Caenorhabditis elegans: one gene and its partners. The protein of the gene in region 1 purifies or fractionates together with the protein of each later gene. This does not show direct contact. Each region holds a gene or a part of one and is shown on either strand. Other genes may lie near its edges. The genes, in order: noa-1, arx-7, C44E12.1 and apy-1.

Region 1 (6,569 bases):
GAAAATTTTAATTTAATATGAAATTACAAAATTATTATGGTTTTTTTTCTGTGAATTAAATAATTCTTATACAATTATAATTTTTCTTTTCTGGAATTAAAAAAAAAAAATTATATGCGTTTTTTTTTAAATTTGCTTACAAAAAAGTAAGCTTTTTTTCTAAATTTGTCTGATATTTTCCAAAAAAAAAAAATCAAATAAATTCGAAAAATTATTTTTTTTTTAATTCCAAAATTTGATTTTTCAAGAAAAACATTATTTTCCTGAAAAAGTTCAGATAAATTCGAAAAAAACTTTAATTTTTTTAAATAAATTTCCAAAATTATTTGGCAAAATTCACAAAAAAAACAATTTTTTTTTCAAAAATAAAAACATTTTTGTCTTTTTTCTTACAAAAATTTCAGATATTTTTGAAAAAAAAATTTTTTTTTCGAAACTTTATTTATTTTTAAATTTAAATTTAAAATTAAATTCTTTTAAAAATTAATTTTGACATTACAGAATTATTCTGAATTTGAAATAAAATCAATAACTTTAAAAAATTCGTTTAGAATTTTTTTAAAAGATTGATTAAAATTTCCAAACTTTTTTTTCAAATTATTTTGAATTAAAAAAACCAAGAAATTTCCAGATAAACTTGTTCCGGAATTTTCTTAAAATATTCAATAAATTTAAATACCATTTCTTGAAGTTTTTAAGTTACACAAAAAATTAAGTTTTTTCTCGAATTTTGTCTGATATTTTCCAAAAAAAAAGCAATTTTTTTTGGAACAATTTTGAATTTTATTTAAAATTCCAAAATTAATCGGCAAAATTCAGCGAAAAAATTTTTTTTTGCGAAAATTGTCTGATTTTCCAAAAAAAATTGTTTTTTCTGAAAAATTCCAGATAAATTTTTTTCTAAATTTTTTTTTCTAAATTCGAATAAGTCTTAGAAAAATCAGAAAAATTCAAATATTGTATTTTTTCCAGATAAATTCGCAAAAAATATTTTTTTTTGGGAAATTGCCGTATTTTCCAATAATTTTCAACCTAATCCGAAATTTTTTTTTTTTGGAAAAATCTGCTGAAATTATTAATAAAAAATCAACATTTTCCAGAAAATTTCAGTTATTTTTGACATAAAAAAACACTTTTTATTTTAAAGGAAAAAACATGGAAATTCCCCAGAAAAAAGTTTAGGCTTAAAAACATTTTTTTTAGGAAAGAAAATCTTTAATTTTCAGAAATTGTCAGACATTGAAAATTATTTGAAAATTTCAGAAATTTTCCGTGATTTAAAAAACAACCAGAGATTTTCTGAAAAAGGCTGGAAATTTTAATATTTTCAGATTTGTGGTGCCACAGGCTGTGTGTCCCATTACGGTTTGATCTACAAAAAATGAGCGGGAATTTTTTGCCCAAAAAAATGTGACGTCTGCACGTTGAGAACTCTGCGTCTCTTCTCCCGCATTTTTTGTAGATCAACGTAGATCAAGACGAAATGAGACACCCCTTAATTTTTTTTTAGTTTTTTGCCAAATTTTTACGATATGTGTAGCTTTAAAAAAATAATTTGAATATTGAATTCCAAAAAAAAAATTCGCTTTTTTATATTTACAATATACAGTTTTTACGAAAATTAAAATTAAGTTAAATTTTTTTCCAATTTTTTCGAAATTTCTTTTTCGTAGATCTACGTAGATCAAACCGAAACTAAAAATCCCGCGTACTTCTCCAACAATCCAGCCTTCTCGACAGCTCTCTCCACCGTCTTCTTAAATCTCCACATATAACCCGTCCGAGCGTCAGGCGGCAACAAGTCCACCTTATTCCCCACCACAATCATCGGCCGACGGCTTCCAACAACCGACGCAAGCCTCGGGTAGATGCTTCCGGGAAGATCCGTAACATCAACGACAAGCACCACAAGCGACTCGGGCTGCTTCTTAAGCTCGCCCATCATTCGAGTGTAGTCCACATCGCATACATTGACATTGAGCAGAAAATTGTGCTCCTGGAGCAGGTGACACCGCTTGCAGAGGCTCTGATCTACAGATCTTCTGTCAATCTTCTCCAAAATCTCCAGAGGCACAAATCCCGGCAGGGAGCTATCTTTACAGTGGAAATTTGCTCCGCACCCCGTGCATTTTCGCGAGCTCGCCGGGATCTCCTCATCGACAGTTCCGATCATGCCAGGTTCGGAGCTCAGATCATCCGATAGATCCTGATCCTTCCCTGATCCTTCTTGAAGCCCTTCAGCCCTCTGCCCGGGTCTTTGGAAGGAAATGTGCTCTACAGCATCATCACCGCCAAAGTATTCCCGGGTGGCTACCATCCTGTCGCCGGGGTCCAGGTCTAGAGAGCTTCCCGCCACGTATTCGTCGACAAAGACGTCAGCTTCAACGTAGAAGCCTCGGTCTGAGGAACCTTCGGTGGATCCTTCAGCTTCAGCTTCGGAGCCCTGAGCTTTTGAAGCTTCAGCTCCAACTGAAACCGACTTCAATGGGAAACTAGCAGCTTCTCCCTGATCTCCCCGATCCTTCACAGCTTCAACCTTCGGCGGAGCCCTCTTCTCCAGAATCTTCTGATAGCTGGGCTCCTGGCTGAGCATCATCTCGCCGAGCATTGACTCTGTCGAATATCTAGAAGCACCGGGATCCCGAAGATCCCCCGAATTCAACTGCTCCCGTTCAAATTCCGACCATCTTCGGTGAATCTCGCCGACTTGGGCGGTTCGGTTGATCTTCAGACGCTTCACCGCGTCCAGCGTCTTCTGGATGTCCCGACGTGTGCTCAGGTATCGGATTCCACAGGATCTTAGCATTTTTTCGCTTTTTTCGGGCTCTCCGTAGAGCTGCTGCTCAAACTATCGATTGAATTGGATTTCGAGCGTTCGCCGAAATCGTTGGTGACCTCCTGAACGTTATCAAAGATTCCGTAAAAGTTCCAGCAGTTGATCAGAAAAATTACGGTGACGTAGAGGCAGGCGGCCGTCGGGAAGAAGATTCCGATTGCGAGAGCCCAGAGTTTTGATGGGATGTACGTGATTCCTGGAAAAAGAAGGGAATTTTCGGGAAAAAGTTTGTTTTTTTTTGGGTCTAACTGGTTATAAGATGCAATTTGGCCATTTTTTTTAGAGAAAAAAAAACCAAAAATTCGGGTTTTTTTATCATAATTTTTGTGTTGAAAAATTGCTAAAATTTAGGGCGTTTTTTCAAAAAAAAATAAAAGGATTTTTTTGCGAAAATAACGGAAAGAACGGATTTTTGTTGTGAAAATCGGAAAAATTTGGTTTTTCCCCGAAAAACGAAAAATAAAAAAATTGTGGAATTTCAAAAATTTCCTAAGCCTGAAGCCTGAAGCCTAAGCCTAATGTCCAAGCCTAAGCCTAACCTAAATAGCTAACGCTCGCCACTGACGCCAAACATATGCTTAAGCCTAAGCCTAAACCTGAGCCTAAGCCTAAGCGTAAGCCTAAAGCCTAAGCCTAAAGCCTAAGCCTAAGCCTAAGCTTAAAGCCTAAAAAAAAATAGCCTAAATTATTGAAAAATACCGAATTTTTTGATTTTTTTTTTTTAAATTTTATTACGAATTTTAGGTCTCGCCGCTACTATGATTTTATTTTTTTCATTTTAGAAATTAAGCAAACTTTTTCTTTCAAAATTCAAAAATCCTGTGAATTTTTTTCCCAATTTCTCCGCCGTACCCAATCGATACAAAATCGGGACCGGCGTGATCGCCCAAATCAGGTAGATCACAAAAAGTGTCCAGGAGACGATGTAGAGAGCAAATCCGTAGATTCCACGAGCCGGATGGGGTCCTGGGAGATGGATTTCTTCAGATGGTAGTGGGGTTTTTGGAGTTTTTTTGGTTGTAGAGGAAGATTCGGTGGAGGTCATCCGCCGGAAAGATCTGAAAAATTGAGGAAATTTTAAATAATATATATATAGAAAATCGAAAAAAAGCGTTTTTCAGAAAATATTTTAAAATTCGAAATAAATTGTTTTTTCTAATACCAATTTTTTTTTTAAAAAATAAATTCTAGTTTTTTAGGAAATTAAAAAAAACTTTTTTAATTTTTTCACCATCAAAATTCAAAAAAAAGGTGTCAAAACTTCAAGAATTTGAAAAAAAAATTTCACAAAAAAATTTGAAAAATCGAATTTTTTTAAATTTAAAATAAAATTTTCGAATTCCAAATATTGAAAAAAAAAATTCCAATGAATTCCAGTTTTTAGGAAATTTCAAAAAAAAATTTTAGTTAAAAAATCAAGTAATTCCAGCGATTTTCAACGCAAAATTTCGAAAAAAAAATTAAAAAATTTCAGAAAAAAAATAGAGGCCAGTTTAATTTATACAAAAAAAAATCTAAAATTTCCCGAGATTTTGAAAAAAACGACAATTTTTACAAATATATAACTATTCTAACCGTATTCGATAAGAAAAATCTACAAACAACGATTGGGGCAAGTGAGCGGGTGGAAGGAAATTGATAAAAAATCACAGAAAAAAAAGTGAAAAAAATATGGAAAAATCACAGAAAAAAGGTAGGCAGGCAGGCAGGCAAGTAGGGGAGCAAAAATATAATTTTAAAATTTTGAAAAAATAGGGAAAAACGAGAGTTTTGGGAGCTGAAAATGGTGAAAAAAGGCTTAAAAAATAGAAAAATTTAGATTTAATTATTTAAAAAATCGGAAAAAAATTTCGGGAGGTTTTGAAGAAAAAATTGTCAAAAAAATAAATTGTTTCAACTTTTTTTAGCGATGAAAAAAATTATTTCCCGATTTTTTTGATAGAATTCCACCGAAAATTTCAATTTTAACCTGAAAAAATTCAAAAAAAAAGTCGAAAAATTGGAAATTTCCTGGAAATTTCTCGAATTTTTCAACAAAAATTCATGGAATTTCATGGAATTTTTTTCCATCATTTTTAACGGATTTTTTCCAATTTTTTTTCACAATTTCAGGCAGAAAAAATCGAAAAAATCAGTTTTTTTTTTCAGAGATTTCTAGAATTTTCCAATAAAAATATGTGAATTTCCATCAGTTTTTACGATTTAAAATTTGGGAAAAGCCCAATAAAAAACTGAAATTTTTACGTTTTTCGGCATTTTTAAAATAAAAAAAAGTTAATTTCAAACTGAGAAAATTCTTGGAAAAAAATCGGAATTTTTTAACTGAAATTTTCCGTTAATCTGCAAAATTTTTCAACCTAGAAATTTGAATTTCCGTCATTTGAAGCTAATTTTCATAATATAAATTTAGTTTTTCCTTCGAAAAATTTAATTTTTTAGAATATATTTAATCAATTTTAGACGGAAATTTCTCGATTTTTTCAATAAAAATTCGTGGAATTTGCATCATTTTTTCCAATTTTTTAAACAAATTCAGGCAGAAAAATCCGTTTTTTACAGAAATTTCTCGATTTTTTCAATAAAATTTTTTTCATGGAATTTCCATAATTTTTAACGGATTTTTTCCAATTTTTAAACAATTTTAGGCGAAAAAAATCTGTTTTTTTTTTCTGAAATTTCACGTTTTTTTTTCAATAAAAATTCGTGAATTCCCATAGTTTTTAACGGATTTTTTCCAATTTTTTTACAATTTCAGGCAGAAAAAATCAGTTTTTTTTCAAAAATTTCCGTCATTTTCCATCAACCATTTCAGTCCCATTCCTCATCATCAAAATTCGGTGGAGCCGGAATCGTGGATGAAACCTTGGCCGGCGGCTGGGCTTCCACTTTCCCATTGATCGCCTTCCTTCGTGCATCCAGTGCCTTCGACAATGCCGACATCAAGTCTCCACCACCACCACCGCCGTCTGGAGCTGGTGCTGAATTTCTCGGCGTTTCCGATGCTCCGAGAAGAGCCGACGACTCAAGAATCCCATCGAATTTCCCCTTCCGCTTCGGCTTTTCGGCAATCCTGCTGAGTTTCGCATTTCCAGCTCCACCGGCTGCTCGGATCGCAGCCATCAAGTCTGAACGGCCTCCGTCGACGGATTTCGTGGGGCTGAAGGTTACGGAGGAGCTTGCTGATGGGGTCTGCGGTGGAGGTGGAGGTGGCGGTGGTGGAGGTGGCGGTGGTGGTGCTGGAGGTGAGATGATCGGAGGAATCTCTGTGATCTCTACTGGAGTTGCAGCTGGCTGAGGAGAAGGATCAAGCTTCATCGGTGGTGGTGGTGGTGGAAGAATGAACGTCGTCGGAGCATCAGCTTCAGCTTCAGTGGGCTCCGATGCTTCAGGAATCTGATCATCTGCTGGAAGGATGTCTAGAAGCCGATCCTCATCGATTTCCGGGTCGCGGAGAGTGAAATCGTGGGCGTGGCCTGGAATTTGGATTTTTTAAAAGATTTTTGATTTTTCTCTGAAAATTTTGGTATTTCAAATTTTTTTAACGAAATTTTCCAAAGGAAATTTTCCCCTAACATTCCCGAGTTTTTTGGAGCAAAAATGAAATTAAAAAACATTTTTTTTTCTATTTTTCCACAAAAATTTGAAATTTTTCAATATTTTTTTTGAAAAGCTAAATTTGGCGAAAATTCGATTTTTTACAGTTTTTCCTTGAAAACTGGATATCGTTTTTTTA
Region 2 (5,063 bases), on another chromosome or scaffold:
GTAAAAAAATCACATTTTTTCCAAAAAACTTTTTAAAAAAAAATTATTTTCAAAAAAACCAAAAAACTTTTTGAAAAACAAATTTTTTCCAACAAAAAAAACAAATTTTTCGAAAACCGAAAAAATATTTTTTCCAAAACAAAAATTTTCCAATTTTCAAATTAGAAAAACCACAATTTTCTACAAAAAAAATTAATGTTTCCAATTTTTCCAAAAAAAAAATTTCTAAAAGAAACTAATTTTTCAAGAAAGTCGAATTTATCCGAGAAATCAAAAAAAAAATCAATTTCCAATTGTTCTCGCATTTAACAAATTTTCAATTTTCCAGACATCTGAATCGACGGGCGGTGAAATCTACTAAAAATCCATCACAGTTCATCATCATCATCAACTCTCCAGTTTTCATTCATTGCTTACGGGTTTCTCTTCATTACGGTAATAAGTTTTCCGACTAAAATTCAGTTTTTTTTTTCAAAATACACGAAAACTCTTTTGTTTTGAAAATCCGAAAATCCATTGGTTCTAGTTTTAAATTCAAAAATTCAAACGGCAAATTTTGCCGCCAGAGACGCCAATTCGATTAAAAACAGTTTTTTAAAAGTGTTTTTGGATTTTTTTTTTCGAAAAAAAAATTGCAATTTTTTTTGGGTATTTTGGAAAATTTTTTAGATTTTTAAAAAGTTTGTTACAAATTTTTTGCTCTTTTTTTGAGGAATTTTTTCACTTTAAAATTCGGTATCAGGAGCGTGTCATTTTTGTGCCATTTTTCGAAGTTTTTCGGTGAAAATCGAAAAATCGAAAAAAATGTTCAGAAAATTTACCATAAAATATGATTTTTTATCTAATTTTGTTTATATTGGTAAGAAAAAACATTAAAATTTCTTCTAAAAAGAAGGATAATGGCCAAAATATTAAGCGAATTTTTTTCGAAAATCGGAAAATCGAAAAATCGAAAAACTAACATTTTCGATTTTTTGAAAAAAAAATCGAAAAACTGACACCCTTGATCAGGAGCATAAATAGGGTCTATAAAAAATAAAATTAAATATTTTAATCCAATCTCAATAATTTCCAGATCTTGCCCCATCCAAAAGTGCATTTCGACAGTTTTTGTTCCAGTCTCAATTCAGCCGCCTTCATGTCAACTCGCTTTATTCTCCATTGAAATCCTCTTCCTCACCCACCTCCTGTACACTATTCTGTACTCTCTCTCTCTCTTTCCATTTCCCCAATTATCTTGAATATGCTCGTATTATATCGCATCCATGTAAAATAGATAACTATTGCTCATCATCTTTTCCCCATGTTTTTTTTGGTGTATTTGCTCTTCTGTTTTGTTCTGGTTTTGGATTTTTTTAATTCAAAAAATTCGATTTTTTCTTCTCGGGAAAGGTGAGTTTTCTAGTTTAAAGCCCTTCCCAATCAGAGAATAATCTATTTCTTCTGCTCCCCCATACGGTTCTTTATCGCAAAAAGAACAGTTTTTCTCGGAGATCGGTCCTCTTCTTGAACGGTCTTGAAGGGCCGTTTTAGTCTCATCTCAACCTTCCAAGAAGGGTACGGAGCTTTTTTTCAAATTTTTATTATATATGACTATGGAAAAAGTGCATAAATCGTTCTGTTCACCAAATCTACTCTTTATTGAAAAAAAACACACACAATTTAGCAGATTTTCAGCGGGTTTTCTCACAAAATTGAGGCTTTTTCGTGTTTTTGGCGATAAAAATTGTCGCTTTTAACCGGAAAAGTTGTAAAAAACGCACACATTTTTCAAGAAAAAACTTAGAATTTTTGCCAACTAATGTAATTTTTAAAATTTCCTCTGAAAAATTCAAAATTCCAGCTTCAAAAATTGGAAATTTAAAGTTTTCGCTCGGAAAATTAACAGTTTTGTAAAATTTTCAAATTTTTTAGCTCCAAAATATGGGGATTTACTAAAAAATTGATGTATTTGTTTCAAAAATTGGAAATTTGGAAAAATTCGAAAAAACCCCAATTTTTGAAGGTTTTGCTTGAAAATCATAGAAATTAATTTCAGGAGCTTCTAGAAATAATGGCATCCAAGAATAAATAGCGTTTATTTGGTACGAATATTCCCAAAACGCTGTTTCTCGCCAATTTTTCAGAGTTTTCGACGAAAATGGCGATAAAAGTCCCAAAATGGAGGAGTTTTCGATAAAATTAAATGAATCTAATCCCGAATAATTGTTTCTCACTTTTTTTCAAAAGGAAAATTCACATTAAAACACTCTTTTTTTCGAGATATTTATTAATTTTAATAAAACCAAAAAAAAAAAAAAAAAATTAACTACGAAGCTCCGTAATTCCGCATGCGCGTGTTGTTTAGTGCCACTGTGTACTCTTCTCGGACAAGCTAACCGATTTATTTTTCTTTCGCAATTTTCAAATCCACCGCGCCACATTTTCATTTAAAAATCTCTTGTTTCAGATAGGAAAAAATGTCGAAAAACATGCAAAACACCTCGTACCGAAAGCTGGATGTGGACTCTTTCGACCCGGAACAGTACGATGAGAATGACGAGAGTGAGTCATTTGTGTACTTAAGGCGCGCGGAAATTATTGATTTTTCGTGTGCATTTGAATAAATAATTTGTTATTTAATTTTAGCAGTCGATACTCCTGGACTTGGACCCGATGAGCGCGCGGTTCAGGGATTTTTGAGCTCGAATCGGCTTGAGGATGCTCTTCATGCGGCTCTTCTCTCCCCGCCACTTAAAACCAAAGATCAGGTGAGATTTAATAAGCTTATTTGGGCTTAGGCATAGGCCTAGGCCTAGGTTTTGGCTTAAGCTGGCCAGGGAAGAGACAGAAAGAAAAATTTTCAATTTCAGAACGTAAAAGACCGCGCCACACAGCTCGTCACAAAAGTTCTGCAATCCTTCAAAAACGCGGAAATCGAGGCGACTGTCCAGAAGCTTTCGATAGAAGAAAGTGATATTCTCATGAAATACGTCTACAAATCAATGGAAATCGGCGCCGACGCGGCCGTCTGTCAGTCTTTGCTCGCGTGGCACGCTCAACTCGTCGCAAAATTCGGTCACGGAGCCATTATGCGTGTCTTCTCCGGTCGCCAACGTCTCTGATTTATTCCCGAATCGTTGTGTTTGCTGTGATATTCATTCCCCCATCGCTCTCCACATGTTTCTTGTGAATTTTGAATATTTTTTGTTTCGCCTTAAGCTTTATGATGATATTTATTTTAATTCTTTCTGATATTCGAAAAAGTTTTTGAAAGATAAATTAAAGCACCACGGAATAGTATCTATCACACGATTGAAAATGGCATCACGAATTGAAAAATAACAATTAAAAATCTGAAAAAAATTATTTAAGCAGATTCGTCGTCGGATAACTTCCGGGAAGAGATCGATTCGATTTCCTGGTGATTTCTTTTTCCAGGAAATTTTCGGAATTCAAATGCCATAAGATGACTGGAAATCGAGAGAAGTAGCAGAAGAGCAAGAGAAATGCACATTGAAACGATGAATTGAGAAATGCTCATACCAATATCCAACCAGCTACCCTCATCTCGAAGTTGGTGGAAGAAACACTGAAAATGCACGGGGTTTTAGGCGGAATTAATCTCAAACAAATTTTTACTGAAAAAATCGGGAATTTTTTTATTCGAAATTAAATATGTTGATTAATTTTGATTAAAATATTCAAGTTTTCCAAAAAAATGTTTCAAATTTACCAAAAAAAAATCTTTCTCGCTTTTTCATCTTTTTATCAAAACAAGTTTTTTTTTCGAAAAAAAACATTTTTTAATTTCCGAAAAAAAATATTTTTCCTTTTTTTTGCCGTCGAAAATTTTTTTTCAACTTTTCGTTTTAAAAATTTTCCAAATTTATTTGGGTTTTATTCTCGCTTTTTTACTTTTTAGTATTAAAAAACTTTTTTATCCGATTTTTTCCCAAATAAATTTTGAAAAAAAACAATTTTTTGGTTTTTTTTTTTCAAAAAAAATCCCGCTTTTTCCATTTTCGTGCTTGAAAAATTATTTTTTTGGCCTTTTTTCCGAATTTTTGCAGTTGAAAAGAAATTCGCTTTTTGTTCATAAATTCCGAAAAAAATTTTTTAACGAAATTTTGCTGTCAAAAAGTTTTTTTTTCGTGTTTTCATATTTTTAGATTTTTCGTTCATTTTTGGTTTTTCGGTTATTTCGTTTAAAAAAATTTTCTCGTTTTTTTCGGCAATAAATTCTGAAAACAAGTTTTTTGGTTTTTTCGTTTTTTCGAGAAAAAAATGCTGATTTTCGAATTTGAAAAATTAGTTTTTTGGCTTTTTTCCGGTTTTTCGCAGTCGAAAAAAAAAGTTTTTCGGTTTTTTTTTCACTTTTTTTTCAGCCGTGCTCACCATCGACATAAAATCAGTGAATATCAACGAAAAACAACAGAGTCTTTGAATGGATTCTTGATCAAATCGAACTATGGAAGCAAAAGCCGATGTGACGAGAAGAATCGGAATAAGAAGTTTTAAGATCAACAGAATAGCCATTGTAAATGGGCTGAACACCGAAATGAACAGATTCAAAGTGGATGGATTGAATGAATTGATTGATGCAAAGTTTCCGGTGCCGAAGAGAGGGCACAGGACGAAGGAGACGCAGACGACCGTTCGGCGAAGCTCCACGTATTCTCCGGTTGAAACTGCAAAAAAAATTAAAATTGTTTGATATTTTGAAGTTAATTGAAAGCACTTTTCGTTGAATCAACTTTCAGCTGCAAGAGCTCAACGTCAGAGAGATGTCCGAATTCGAAGCGAACGAATAGAGTTAGGAGAACGAGGAAGATGAGCATGAAGAGGGATTCGTAAGATATTGAAAGCAGGGAGTATGGGACCTGAAATAGTTTTTTTGTTGAAAAATCGACAAAATTTAAAAAAATTTAGATGAAAAATCGAAAATTAGGATTTTTTTTTAGTTGAAAACTTCAATTTTTTTTTTTGATTCTTTTGTCGAAAAATTGCAAATTTTAATTTTTTTCAGTTGAAAAATCTAAAAATTCTAACATTTTGTTGAAAAAACTCGAATTTTTTTGTTT
Region 3 (7,100 bases), on another chromosome or scaffold:
TGGTTTTGCAAATATGAGCGATGACATCCGAGAAGCAATGCGAATAATTGCTGCGTTGAAAAAGACAAGGCAAATTGTATAAGCCAACGCGAAGAATCAAACATTTTATTTCAGGCCATCGAAAGATCGAATAACTTTGGAAGACTTGAAGCGGTTCCTTGAAGTTCAGGAGCATCTGCTCCGACAACCATATGTCCCTTATAACGTTCACCTCCTTCGATGGATCGAAGACAATGTTGGTCCACAGATGGTAAAACAATTCGAGATTAGATATAGAGTTTGAAACTGTGATTCAGCTTCTTGTGGTTTATTTTATTTTATTTTTATGTTCATTTTCATTTTAATTTGCATTTTATTTTTGTAACGTGCACGGAGTAGTATCGGGTGAAAAATTATATTTGTATGAGAGCACGCACAAATTTGTGTGTTTTTGTGCACAATAATGTTATTTTCAATTGAGAAATTCAAAAAATTTTCAGAAAAATGAGTTTTCCCTAGCAGAACAAGTAAGTTGGTTTCAAAAAGCTAAAGTCTGGTGTACAATTGTTATAATTATTTTTTAAATCTGGAATGAACATTTTCAGTTCATACTTTGAAACGAATTGACGCTTATTTTCATATTTAAAACTTCTAGCTGTGAAAACTCATAATTTTGCACCCGCAGACGTTATCTCGATTGTTTTTGCCGGTTATGCAGATTTGATCAAACGTTATCATATTTTATTTCAGTATGCACAATACATGGATGATGTCTCTGGAGGTAAAACACCAATGTCCCCATCTCGTCTGTCTCACAAAATGTCCTCCAGCGACCCGATGCTCTTTTTCTGATTTTGTTTCCGAGTTCCCACTTTCAAACAAATTCCCCCCGTTCTACTGGGTATGCCACTTTTGATATCAGGTTTTTTTTGCTTACCGTTATTTAATCTTTAGAACGTTTTTGTGTTTTAATTTTAGCCAAGTTGGTTCCACCGTTCAGTCGTAAAATTTTGAACTTTACTATCTACTGTCGTATCGCTGTTTATAGTAGGAACTGTCCACTTAAAAATCTTTCAAAAAACGTTGGTGATTTATGTTTCTGATATTTAAAAATTTCCCTAAATTGTTCTTTAGACTTTTTCCGTTTCAGTTTTTTTTTCTCTGATGATTGTGAATTTTAGCCTAAAAAGAATCTCCTTCAAAGTTGATCAGATAACAGTATCCTTTCTTTTTCCAGCTTTCTCATTTCCAATTGTGATCTTATAGGGTTTTCATCTTTTCTATATGTTTTTTGAATATTTTATCACTTTGCTATTTTCTCTTTTCTTGTTCTTTTTTTTCAATTTTTTTCGCGATTTTAATTAAAATTATCTAACAAGAATAACATCCATTGAATGAAAAACTACATTTATTCTTCTGCAAACATATCCGAAAGTTAATAATGTTCCAAATACAAATGATTCACTAGTTTGACAAGAGTTGCGGTGCACTTATGAAGCTCATCCTTTGGGATGAATTCGTTTTTGGAGTGAGCATTTTTGATTGAGCCACCACCAAAAAGATACTTCGCTTTCACCTTATCTCTTGCGTCAAAGTATGCAATATCTGTGTTAAATGAAACGTGGTCTAGCTCTGCTTCAATTGGAGGAACGTCGAGAATAACTGGGTCATTAAAGCTGAGCAGGCTCACTTCTGCACGACCTGAAATTGAAAAACATGAAAAATGATTTTCCAGATCTGATTTCATTACCATTGACCAATGCTAAAAGCTGATTTTGAATATCCTTCACAGAAGTTACTACACGGAAGAAAATGTCTGCTTCACAGTTTGCCGCCCATGCGTTCAAAGCTTGACCACCAGAGATTTTCCCAATGTTATACGTGGTAGCTCCGTTGGTTGCGTCGCATGGCCATTTAGCAAGTTGCACATCATGAAGAACTTCTATCATTTTGTGAATAGCACTTGAACCGGAGTTAGGGTAGCCCGAATGTCCTGCTTGGCCAGTGACGGTCAATTTCACCTGAGCATGGTACGATGAAAATTATTTTGCGCATAGTGCTAAGTTCATGGCGAATGGTCAATTAGATATTCTAGGATATCATTTAATACAAAAAAAGATAAAATTTACAATGTTAGATTCCCCAGTATCAATCGTTTTGGCATATTTTTCATGCGCTAGGATGTCTCAAGGCAAAGAATGATCTGGAAGATTTTTTAGTAAGTCGTAATTTTTTGAGAAAAAAAACTAGTTATTTCTAATCCTTAAAAAAACATATTCGGAATCTAACTTAAATTAAATTTTGAAACAGATACGGTAGAAAATAGAAGCAACATGTGGTTGTGTGACTTAATGTCTATAATTTTTTATAACAAATTAAAAAAGCAAATATAATTTAACATAAATTACTGCTCACTTTCAGAGCTCCCTTTTGAATTGTCCCGAACTTCAACTCCGTTGGCTCACCAACCAAAAGATATTCAGGTAGGATTTCTAACTTGTTTGCTTCCTGGAATTTTATCTTAAACCTAGAGTTACTAGCAAACCCCTTACAATCATTCCAATATGGTCGAATTCTTCGCCAACCACAAAAAGTAATCCCAATGCCCTTGCCACATCCTCATCTGTCTTTGAAATAATAGTGGCAGCCGTGACCATCGCAGCCAATTGTCCTGTAACAGCTTTGTCTTGTCACTTTTTCCCTCAATTTGCAGGGATTTTTTTCAATCTTTCAAAGTACAAGGGTCGTGTTGTTTTGGTAATTATCCCCTTTTGGAAAAGGTTTTTCATGCTATGATCAATCTCACTTATACCGACGGTAATGGACAATCGCGAAAATTTTGGACATCTCTGCAAAACTTTTGTCCAAGTGTGTATGTCTACCGCCAAATAAAATGAATTGAACAAAGTTCACTCGCGTAAAACAGGTGTCATCTACTGTTATACGATTGGATGCACGCTGCTATTGAGGGGTATTAAAACAGTTTTTCTCGCAACATTGCAGAACACTTGGGAACAAGAATCAAGTGACCGAAGGTCATTTCCGGTAAGACACAAGAAAAAAAGTGAAGCGTCTGAATAAAACCTTTAGCATCGTTCGACCCGTTTCCATAAATGTTCTGTTCGTCCTGGGTTGGTGGAAAGTACGGAGGAACTGTGTCCAAGTGAGTGTTTAGTAGCACTTTGACATCTGAAATGAATAAGAGTTTTTGATTGTGTTTATTTTCAAGTGCATACTTAGTTAACAGAGTGTTTTTTTTTTCATTAGAAAAAGCAACAAAACATTTTTGATCGTTATGTTTTTTTTGGCAAAAAATGGGTTGACTGAATTGAAAGTCCTACATTGAACTAAAAGTGATATGTCAAAGGATAGATAGAACATGATCAAAAAAAAACTGAAGCGTCTCGCTTTTCAGAAAAAAAAAACGGAAAATCGGGAAGATTGAAACTACGGCATCTACATCTGAGCCGGAAACTATTATTGGCAACCGTACAAAAACACTTATGATTATTGAAATGACTATTAATTTTTTTTAACCGAAAGTTAGTACAAAAATATGGTAAACTGTTCGATTGATGCGAAAAAAAATCTAATTCTTGTTGAAAAATTATTAAATTTTTCTAAAAATTCTAAATCAGTCTTATTAATTATGTTTTGGCAGTGTAAATTTTGTATTCTCTCCTGTTTATTTTTATCAAATATCATAAAGTATAAAAACTCCAAAAATTGTAAGATTTTTCTGATGTTTTTGAGCGTTAATACAGGTTCAATCCAAATGTAGTCGGAGTTAATCAAAACTCGTAAAAGATACACTTTTTTTGGTCGACTTTAAAAGTTGTAATAGGAGAAAACTGAGTTATATTTAAACTGTAAATCACATTAATGGGCTTTTTTTAAAGGTATGCTATGATATTTGGTCTTTTTTCATTTTAGAACTAAGAGTGGTTTCCAAAAATACCCAATATTTCTCCCATCCAGCAATATATCTAATAACCAGTAGTTTTAAATCTCACGTTTTGGGTCAGAATTCCGAAATGTTGCATAAATGTTGTACCGGTCTGAATTGGGAATGCTCTGTTTATACACTGTCCATCCGTTCTCTTCAAGATCTTTTGCAACAACATCAGCAAATGCAGCTAAAAATTCTCTAAAATTATGAAGACGATTCTAATTGTTGAACCTTCATTTCCCGTAGTGGACGAGTGGCTCATGTACTCAAGGAGTCGCTTTTCAACTTCCACTTCCCATTTGATTGTCATCGTTCACGTTACTGGCTAATAGACACGGATGCTGCAAGAAATAATGTTTTGTTAACATCATCGCGAAGATAAGTGTTCAATGAGATCTGACTTCTGTCTTCAGATCTTCTCACAAAGAAAGGCTACTGTTTTCAAGAAACCGTTTTGTCGACGCCGGTCTTTTCAAGGTCATTTCTGGACCATGGAAATTGAATAGGAATATCACAGGAAGTGTAGAGATGAGATTGAACAGTTTGATTATAACAGGTTTTCAAAATGGAACCACATCGTTAAAAAATTTGTAAACTAGTCAGATAGGCCAGAGCATGTTTTAACAAACGTTCGCAGGCAATACGCAATATTTAAAATGAAAATTAATGCCTGTTGAAAGTAGCGAAAAATAATGATAAATGTGTGTGATATTAATAGGGTATTTTTCCTTTTCTACCCCGCATTTTTTCTGCACATTTTCTTTAATAAAAACGTGAACTTTATGTGTATTTTAGGCTTAGTAATTTTGTTTTCTAAGCCTAAAAATGAAAATAATATTAAAATGAACATTCACGTGAGAATTGAATTCGAATAATTCAATGTTTTGAATATTCTTTTAAAAATGCGGGGTAGAAAATGAAAAGTACCTGATATAGATATGAAAACAAAAATTGAAAATCACAATATCACGCAACCTCATGTGATCGACTGATAGTATGTCTTCATAAAACTGTCACGACGCCTATTGTTATATTATACGACCGCAAAAGTAGGGCATTTCCGTTGGAAACGAAAGTAATAAAAACTGTTGTTCCCTCTTATCTTCGGACGGGGGGCAATTTTTGATTGATTTCATGCAAACACATAAACAATTTTCAATATAATATACTTGATATTCTTCGTGCTTTCCATATCATTGAAAAAATGAAAACACTATCTTCCAACAGAAGCATCGTACATACTGTGGTCTAAACTATTAGTAAGATTGGATGTAGGAAAATGCACGTTCACATAGATTTTTCACAAAACAACATAGAAACACTGTCTCATTATTTTTTAATAAAAAGTAACATCTTGCCTGTTGAACAAAAACTGCCGAGAACGAGGAATTTTTGATATTTTGTAACTACAGTCTTCACGAGGAGTCAGAATGTTTTCTCTCCTCTATTCAATCTACATAGATTGCGCCAACCCACACATACGCTTGTCAACTTTTTCAACTTTTCATTATCGCATGATAAAAAAATTTTGCTCTCACTTTTCTTTTGGGTACTAAATTCGCGCAATTTTGGAAACCCTAATTATGCGTTTGCTCCGTTTTAGAAAGAACAGCGGACAGAGATCGAGTACCGCGAAAGAACAATCAACTTCGTATTTCTTATATCGTCTGCGTCTCGTTCACTCACACAATACTGAAGCACTAATCCCAACGTATTTTATCATGGAAAATTCAAGAGTTTTTATATGTAGTTAATCATAGTTGAACCATTGAAAATATTTTTGAAATTAAGTTTACAGTGTGCCTTTGCTTTCCATTCAAACGATCATACAATGAACAGCAACAATTCAGATTATCATTCGAATTAATTCATTATCACATAGACTGTTGCAACACAGAGAAACGGATAACGTTACAAAATACAAATATACGTATTGAGAAAATCAATTCGTGTCAATATATCTAAAGAAAAAACTCAATGGTGTGACAATGTTCTATGTGAAATCTCAGTTCTATAATTTTAAAATTTTCAGATGAAAATACTTTTATTAAATTTCAAAACCCGTAGTTATGAGGCGACCAGTGATGGTCTAACAAGTAGAACACTCAGGGAACAATACCTATATCTCGACAAAAAATAAGTGAAAAGAAACAGCAAAAAAAAAATAAAACGATGATGATGATTGGAAGGAATGATGAAAAGTACCGATTGCAAGTAACGTGACATAGATAACTAAAAGGGATCAGGTTCAGGAAGAGGAGACAAAGCAAATGAGCAACGACAAATGAAGGATGTTGTATTTACATGGAAAGGTGATAGATGGGTTGAGCCAGTGAAAAGAGCAAAGAGTGTGAGAGAGAGTGAGAAAAAAGACAATAAATACAACATTAAAGAGGAGAAGACAAGAAACGTGTTATTAAAATTATTCGATCAGACTTTTGGAAAAGATCGTATAATTTGTTTCCCTTTCGATTTTAAAACTTTCTTCGGAAGTCGCAAACACGCAAATTACAGTATTGCTTTTCGTATTGTTGACCGTCGCAGTTACCACTTCCATAGCACTTTCTTACACGTTTACGAACACCGTCGCCACATGTTTCACTACACGATGACCAGTATCCCCATCCTGAAAAAATAAATATTATGTTTTTTTTCGGTTTTATGTGTACATCGTGGAATAACATAAGGAGGAACGTATTACACCATGAGCGTTTTGTATAATTTGTATTTGATCAAGTTTGCCTGACCCCAACAATTTTTTAAAAATATGTTTCAATGTACGCATCGGACACTTTTTGTTTGGGTGTGTTCCCGTTTCTCTATCATTTACAAGTTGCATCCTTCCTGATCCTTCAATATTCACGTGACCCACCCCCACACCAGAGGTTATTCCCGCGAATTCCGAAAAATAATGAGATTCTAGGTTAGGTCGTCCCACGTTTCTGCCGCAATCTCTCACCATGATTGAAGTCTTTTTAACAGAACGACTATAAATCTACAGTACGTCGTTTCGCAGGTTTTGCGACTTTTTCGGTTTTACAGAAGATACTAATCAAGAAAATGAACAAGTCAATGGTTCGCTATGGTTTGGGTATCAAGTCAATTTGGATCAGATCATCATAATTCTCATTTCTTTTGATTTGATGCAAAAGAAACGAATCTGCCGCTCATA
Region 4 (5,772 bases), on another chromosome or scaffold:
AACCGAGAGATGACGGAAAAACCGGAGAAAAACGCGGGGGTGTCTGTATTGCGAAATGATTAAAAAAATACCTTCCAGATGGTTCATGGTCTAGAAACCTTCGGCATCAATGGAGAATCGTCAGAAAATGGAAATAAGGAAAAGCCCAAAGAGATCATGAAAGTTGTTGCCCCAACAGTTGAAGCATATGTGAGTTTGGTAAAATTTAAAAAAAAGAATTTCAGAGATTGAAATGTTTGATAGGTTTTAAGGCAAATTTTTTTAAATGTTTTTAAGATTGGATTCATACTGACATTTTTCAACCCTTGGATACAAGTGAAAAAATGTTGAATTATCTGAATAGTGTCTGAAAACGCTTAAATACTTTAAAACAGCGCCATCCTAATTTGATTTTAAAAGCATCAAGTAAATTATTGTAGGTCGGAAGTTCAAGTGCTCAAACTCCAACAAAATCGAGTGGCGGTGCTTTGGATGGCAGTGATCAACAGGTTTGTTTTATTGTTTTTATGAAGTGTGTGTTTTTGTGCATTTTTTGTTGAATAGTTCGTGCTTTGAATAATTTTTAATTAAAAAAACATTGATTAGGAATGTAGTCTATAGGTTTGTACAGGCAAAATTTCCGGAGAAAATGAAACTATATTTTTTGAGTTGTTTGAGAGAAATTGTTAATTTTTTGCTGAATTTTAGATAGTTTAGAAAAGGTTTTATTTTCTAATTTTATAATTAGCATACTAGTAAAAACTTATTTGCCAGAATACACAAAGACAAACTCAGTTCTAATTTAATTTAAATTTAGCCCATTGTCGAAGTAACCATGTCCTGTACATTTGTTGGAAGAGAAAGCTCAGCAGGATGCTAAGAAGAAAAAAAAACAAATTATGATTTTTGTTGTTTGTGATTTTATTTTTCTCTTATCATTTTCAAATACTAACTTGGAATATAATTTCTTGCTGCTCCTTATGCTTTTTTCCTTCAACCTATCCATTTCCATTCTTCTCCTTTCCCAAGCTAATTCACATGGGTATTGTTGACTTACTCTTGTTTGTGAATAAACATTTTGCTGTTGTTGTTGAAGTTGATGCGCTCACTTTCAGCACACGAACCAAATGTGCGGAATATAGATGTGAGCATTGACAGCTTGAATGTGAAAGAATGAGGGAAATGGGAATAAAAGGAAGAAAAATATAAGATGAAGGAAAAACTGAAGAAGGGAGGGAATGAAGAAGGCGTTAAATGAAAAAGAGACTCTTTTAGTCGATGAAAAGTGATTATTGCAGGAAGTGCGTCAGGACGGAACTAGTGTGCAAAAAGATGACAACGGATTTGTATTCTACAAGTGTCGTTTCTGCGGACTCACATTCAACTTCATGAACACTCTCCGTGCACACGAGAGAATACATGACGTTTCACAGGTTTTCATTCGCTGGATTACTTATAGAAACTCTTTGTTTCAGCCATATGTCTGTGGAAAATGCGGAGACTCATTTGAATTTGCTTGCCAACTGGAATATCATGCCGCTCAGCACTCAGAAATTGACGGGTACAAGTGTGAATGCGGAAGGACGTTCTTTTCTTACACGGAAATGTTATATCACAAGCACACGGACGATCCACTCGAATTGATAGGTGCTCCAGAGGTTTGTCTAATTGAGAAATCTGAGAAATAATAAATTTACTAGATTTTACTAATCAGTAGAGCTTTTTGAAACAAAATCTGAATTACGAACTTCTCGGAAAAAAATCAACAGAATCTAGCTATGGCTGTTTTAATGTTTGATTTTTTATTCTTCAGTTCTTTCGACTCAAAATCTATCAAAACCTTTTCATCCAGCCATTCGCTTTTCAATTTTGTATTTGGTTTTCATAGTCCTTGATGTGAGAAAATTGTGAACAAAAACTTTGTGTGTCTTGGCTTTCTGACGTAAAAAAAATATTTTTCTCAACAAAAAAAAATTGCTGATAGCCTGTGAGAGGGTGCAATTTGATACGACTGCACTTACTTCTTGCATCACAACTGTTAAACAGATGGAATTTCAGTGCAAAAAAAAGAAAACGTTATGAAACAGAAGTTATGAAACCGAAGAAAGTTCCAAATTTAAAAACATGTTTTGGTCGTTTACCTTACGTTGTTTTGTTAATGAAGATACGTTTCAAGCAATTAGGGACCAAAAATTACCACAATTTGCTACCTAAGTCTTTGTGACTGGGAAAAATTGAAACAACTCGAGTTTTTGACTGAAATTTGGGTATTGCCTTTTCAAAATTTTGAACCCCCATAAACAAGTTTTTAAGTAATTTTTGAGAAGTAGTATTTCAAATTTCGTTCGTTTGGTTTTGTTAAAAATCACACGGAAAAAAAGCCGAAACCGTTTTTTTACTTTAACAAGGAATACATTTGTGAGAAGAATGAAGATTACCAATATAATTTGAAATACTTCAGACAACCACAATAAAAGTAAGCAAGAAGCGAGTCCTACCGGTCTCCGAGCAAGATCTTCCACAGCCAGCTTTCGTTACTGAAGGATACGAGCCGAAGCATCCACTCCGAGTGTACAACGACGTTCGTTCAAAACCATACATTTGTGAATATTGTTCGAAAAGCTACTCTGACAGTCGTGGTCTTGCATATCACATGTACAGTCATCGTGGAGAGAAGTACTTCAATCCTCGAGCATCTCGTTATATGATGGGAAGGGAAGGAGTTGGGTACACTGATTCCAGAAGCTACTATTTATTCCCAAGAACAAGCGGATACGTGACTCCGCGATTCTGAGCAACCCCTGAGTATTTAAAATTTTTCTAATTTAGTATTTAAATCTATCCAGATCTTGTAAAATATATATATATTTCAACATCGGCTAGCTTTAACAATATTTGTCCTTCAAAATGTATATTCGATATGGTTCTTTCATATAACTCATATTTCTTTCTTTCAACTAAATCAACGTTTTTCTTTAGTGTTATCGTTTTCTCATTTCTTGTCATTTTGTCTTTTCCTCACATTTTTAAGACGCTCGTTATAAAGACGGTCAGCAGCAGAAACTCGTTTTGTGTTCAACATAAACTACAATTGACTACAAAGCACAAAAATCGTGTGTTTCCAACGCACTCAGACACACTCTATAAATACTGTTCTCGTCATGTCTTGTTGGTATTTTCTTCTTTCCCTGAAATATCGATTCCTGGTCAATCGTACAATTGGGACCATGTTAAGCGGGAAAGACATTGACCGCTAGCACAAATGTTGTCCGGCTCTCTCACAATCAATCTTTCTTCTGTGATGTGTTACGACAACCCACAACCGATTTTTTGATAGCAAAAATGATAAGATGATGATAGCGAGACAGCTCAATTGTTCGTTGTTCTAGAAGTTGTACGTTTTTTTAAATTTATTTTGCATCATTTTGAATTCATTATTTAAAAATGTATAAAATTGTTTAATTAACGGTTCTCGAAATATTTTGCCACTTCACAGCCACGATATCTCACTCAATAAAGCAAATGCAATTTGGGACACGCACTTGTGTTCGTTATTAATATCGAGTCCCCATTGAAAAAACTAGGCCACGCGGCCGTGAAGTACTCTCGGAAAACTACACCATTTTTTATTTTTTTATTCTACTTATATTTTCTCAAATCTCTTACTTTCAATTAATGCTTATAATTAAGACTCACAAAAATAATTTTTAGGTATGACACAAGAAAGTAACTCAAACTTTTTCAACTTCCTTCTTTTCGGGTTTGTGACCGCTATTGCCTTTTATTCGGGTACCCAATTCAACAAATCTAGCGAACAGGAAGAGGTAACTCTTTACATTTTCAGCTGATTGCGCACATATCCATTTACAGCACATCAACCATGCTAACTTGTATTCGGTAAAGAAGTTTGATGATGGAGCAAAAGAATACTCAATAATGTTGATCACCGATTTGGATCATGACAGCAAAGACGGGAAGAAGTGGAAAAGTTTGGTCTCTCGTGGATTTTTGAAGGTGAGAAGGACGGCAAGAAACTAATGCATTATGCTCAGCTTGACCAATATGATTTTTATAAAATGCAACTTGCTTTTTTCGAATCGCTATAGGAAATTTTCAAATTTATATTTCAGGTTTCTGCAGACCACAAGCATGCCGATATTCATTTTGACAAAGACTCGGAGTACTATGTTGACACGTAAGTTTACAAAATGTGTTTTTATAGATTTTTTTGTTTTGACTTCATTACTAAAATCATCATTTTAGAAATATTGCCGCCGGTGGACGCGCTATGGAGTTGTCTGACCTTGCCGTCTTCAATGGTAAACTGTACTCAATTGACGATAGAACAGGTCTTATTTATCAAATTAGTGACAAGAAGGTGAGTGATGAGTGGTTAAACAATGATATTTGTGTAGTGGATTGATTTTTAAAAAATATAATATTGTTTTGAAGGCACTTCCCTGGGTATTACTGAACGATGGGCCAGGAAACGTCGTGAAGGGATTTAAAGGAGAATGGATCACTGTTAAGGATACCGAATTGATTGTTGGAGGATTGGGAAAAGAATGGACGACCACTGACGGAGTTTATGTGAACGATCACCCAATGTGGGTGAAGCATGTCTCTGCTCACGGAGCCGTTCATCACGAAAACTGGAAGGATGTATATATCCGCGTTCGTAGAGCTGCTGGGATCGAATATCCCGGATACATGATTCACGAAGCTGTTCAATGGTCTGCAATTCACAGAAAATGGTTCTTCCTTCCACGTAGAATGTCAAATGAGAAGTATTCTGAGGCGGAGGACGAGAACCGCGGAACAAACGTTCTTGTGATTGGAAATGAAGAGTTGACTGATTTTGAGGTTGTGCGAGTAGGATCGGAGAATAACAAATCCAGAGGGTTTGCTGCTTTCCAATTTGTGCCAAACACTCATCACCAGCTCATCGTTGCCATCAAGTCGGAGGAAAAGGTAAGTAACAGGTTTTATCTACACAATTTTAAAAACAAAATCCGTTAATCTCAATGCTCGGTTTATAAAATTGTATTCCAGGATGGAAAACCAGTAGCAAGTTATGCAAGTGTTTTCGACATTCATGGTAATGTTATTCTTGACGAATATCTTCTTCATGGTCCATACAAATACGAAGGAATTGCATTTGCCTAATCACTTCAATTAATGTATTTTTGTCTCAATTCCCACCTTCCAGTCAGGTCCAAATCTGTGTTCTCGATATTATGTGATTTTTGTCAAATACTATGTAATGGTTATTTAAATAAAATAAATATATAAACATTTTATTCAACATTTTTTGCATGCATAAAGCTGCCAGTGGGTAAAAATATATATAAAAAAATACTCAAGTAAGTGGGAATCAATAAATTATTTAATTTACAAAGTCTACACGGGAAAATAAAATAACATTGGCAATATTTTTCTTAATATGCTGGTTTGAACCGTTTGATTTCGAGCATCACTTGATGAACGTTGACTAACTGGGAACACACGGGATTTTTAGCAAATACGTCATGGGACAGAATCTTTGTGAATCTATTGATATACTGAACGTACTTTGTGAAGATTGTCTGAAATCATCTAGTTAAAACTGAAATTCGGCTCTAGGAAATAAATTTTAACCTGTAAAATGGTGGTTCCCAGGCTGAAGTTAGTGAAAAGTTGTATGCATTCTGAATTAATACTGTCCACTGCAGGTCTCCACTTTGCATTGAAGTTTGCTACCACCGTTCCAACTTTGTCTGAAATTAAAATATTAGAGAATAGAAAATTATATAT

Evidence for each region.
Region 2: the proteins of noa-1 (region 1) and arx-7 fractionate together in Caenorhabditis elegans (co-fractionation; one large-scale study listed by BioGRID). This does not show direct contact.
Region 3: the proteins of noa-1 (region 1) and C44E12.1 fractionate together in Caenorhabditis elegans (co-fractionation; one large-scale study listed by BioGRID). This does not show direct contact.
Region 4: the proteins of noa-1 (region 1) and apy-1 fractionate together in Caenorhabditis elegans (co-fractionation; one large-scale study listed by BioGRID). This does not show direct contact.

What each region holds. Positions count from the first base shown.
Region 1 is NC_003280.10:13,537,191-13,543,759, forward strand, and holds the start of noa-1 (G domain-containing protein), read right to left. Parts: upstream 3,689-6,569; 5' UTR 3,632-3,688; intron 3,033-3,631; coding exon of another isoform or gene 2,807-3,032; coding exon 1,713-2,806; intron 1-1,712. Other genes in the region: Y48E1B.17 (PIG-P domain-containing protein), read right to left, coding at 2,800-3,032, 3,689-3,881; ddl-2 (WASH complex subunit homolog 1), read right to left, coding at 5,645-6,309.
Region 2 is NC_003279.8:3,067,537-3,072,599, reverse strand, and holds arx-7 (Actin-related protein 2/3 complex subunit 5), read left to right. Parts: upstream 1-2,449; 5' UTR 2,450-2,459; coding exon 2,460-2,544; intron 2,545-2,628; coding exon 2,629-2,750; intron 2,751-2,852; coding exon 2,853-3,104; 3' UTR 3,105-3,275; downstream 3,276-5,063. Other genes in the region: M01B12.4 (Ensconsin), read left to right, coding at 329-361; pign-1 (GPI ethanolamine phosphate transferase 1), read right to left, coding at 3,350-3,571, 4,378-4,670, 4,721-4,862.
Region 3 is NC_003284.9:7,594,096-7,601,195, reverse strand, and holds C44E12.1 (Peptidase M20 dimerization domain-containing protein), read right to left. Parts: upstream 4,270-7,100; 5' UTR 4,239-4,269; coding exon 4,160-4,238; intron 4,116-4,159; coding exon 3,993-4,115; intron 3,169-3,992; coding exon 3,064-3,168; intron 2,651-3,063; coding exon 2,532-2,650; intron 2,488-2,531; coding exon 2,395-2,487; intron 2,001-2,394; coding exon 1,730-2,000; intron 1,681-1,729; coding exon 1,415-1,680; 3' UTR 1,372-1,414; downstream 1-1,371. Other genes in the region: twk-17 (Potassium channel domain-containing protein), read left to right, coding at 1-69, 115-250, 480-506, 730-831; A disintegrin and metalloproteinase with thrombospondin motifs adt-2, read right to left, coding at 6,403-6,554.
Region 4 is NC_003284.9:7,567,641-7,573,412, reverse strand, and holds apy-1 (Apyrase apy-1), read left to right. Parts: upstream 1-3,690; 5' UTR 3,691-3,692; coding exon 3,693-3,803; intron 3,804-3,849; coding exon 3,850-3,993; intron 3,994-4,109; coding exon 4,110-4,174; intron 4,175-4,242; coding exon 4,243-4,357; intron 4,358-4,431; coding exon 4,432-4,950; intron 4,951-5,031; coding exon 5,032-5,145; 3' UTR 5,146-5,272; downstream 5,273-5,772. Other genes in the region: pcyt-1 (Putative choline-phosphate cytidylyltransferase), read right to left, coding at 1,037-1,056; Zinc finger protein unc-98, read left to right, coding at 79-189, 420-488, 1,278-1,412, 1,455-1,637, 2,441-2,773; vps-52 (Vacuolar protein sorting-associated protein 52 homolog), read right to left, coding at 5,418-5,564, 5,617-5,735. UniProt on the Caenorhabditis elegans protein: Hydrolyzes UDP and to a lesser extent GDP. By preventing the accumulation of NDP, may promote the reglucosylation of incompletely folded glycoproteins in the endoplasmic reticulum following the unfolded protein response.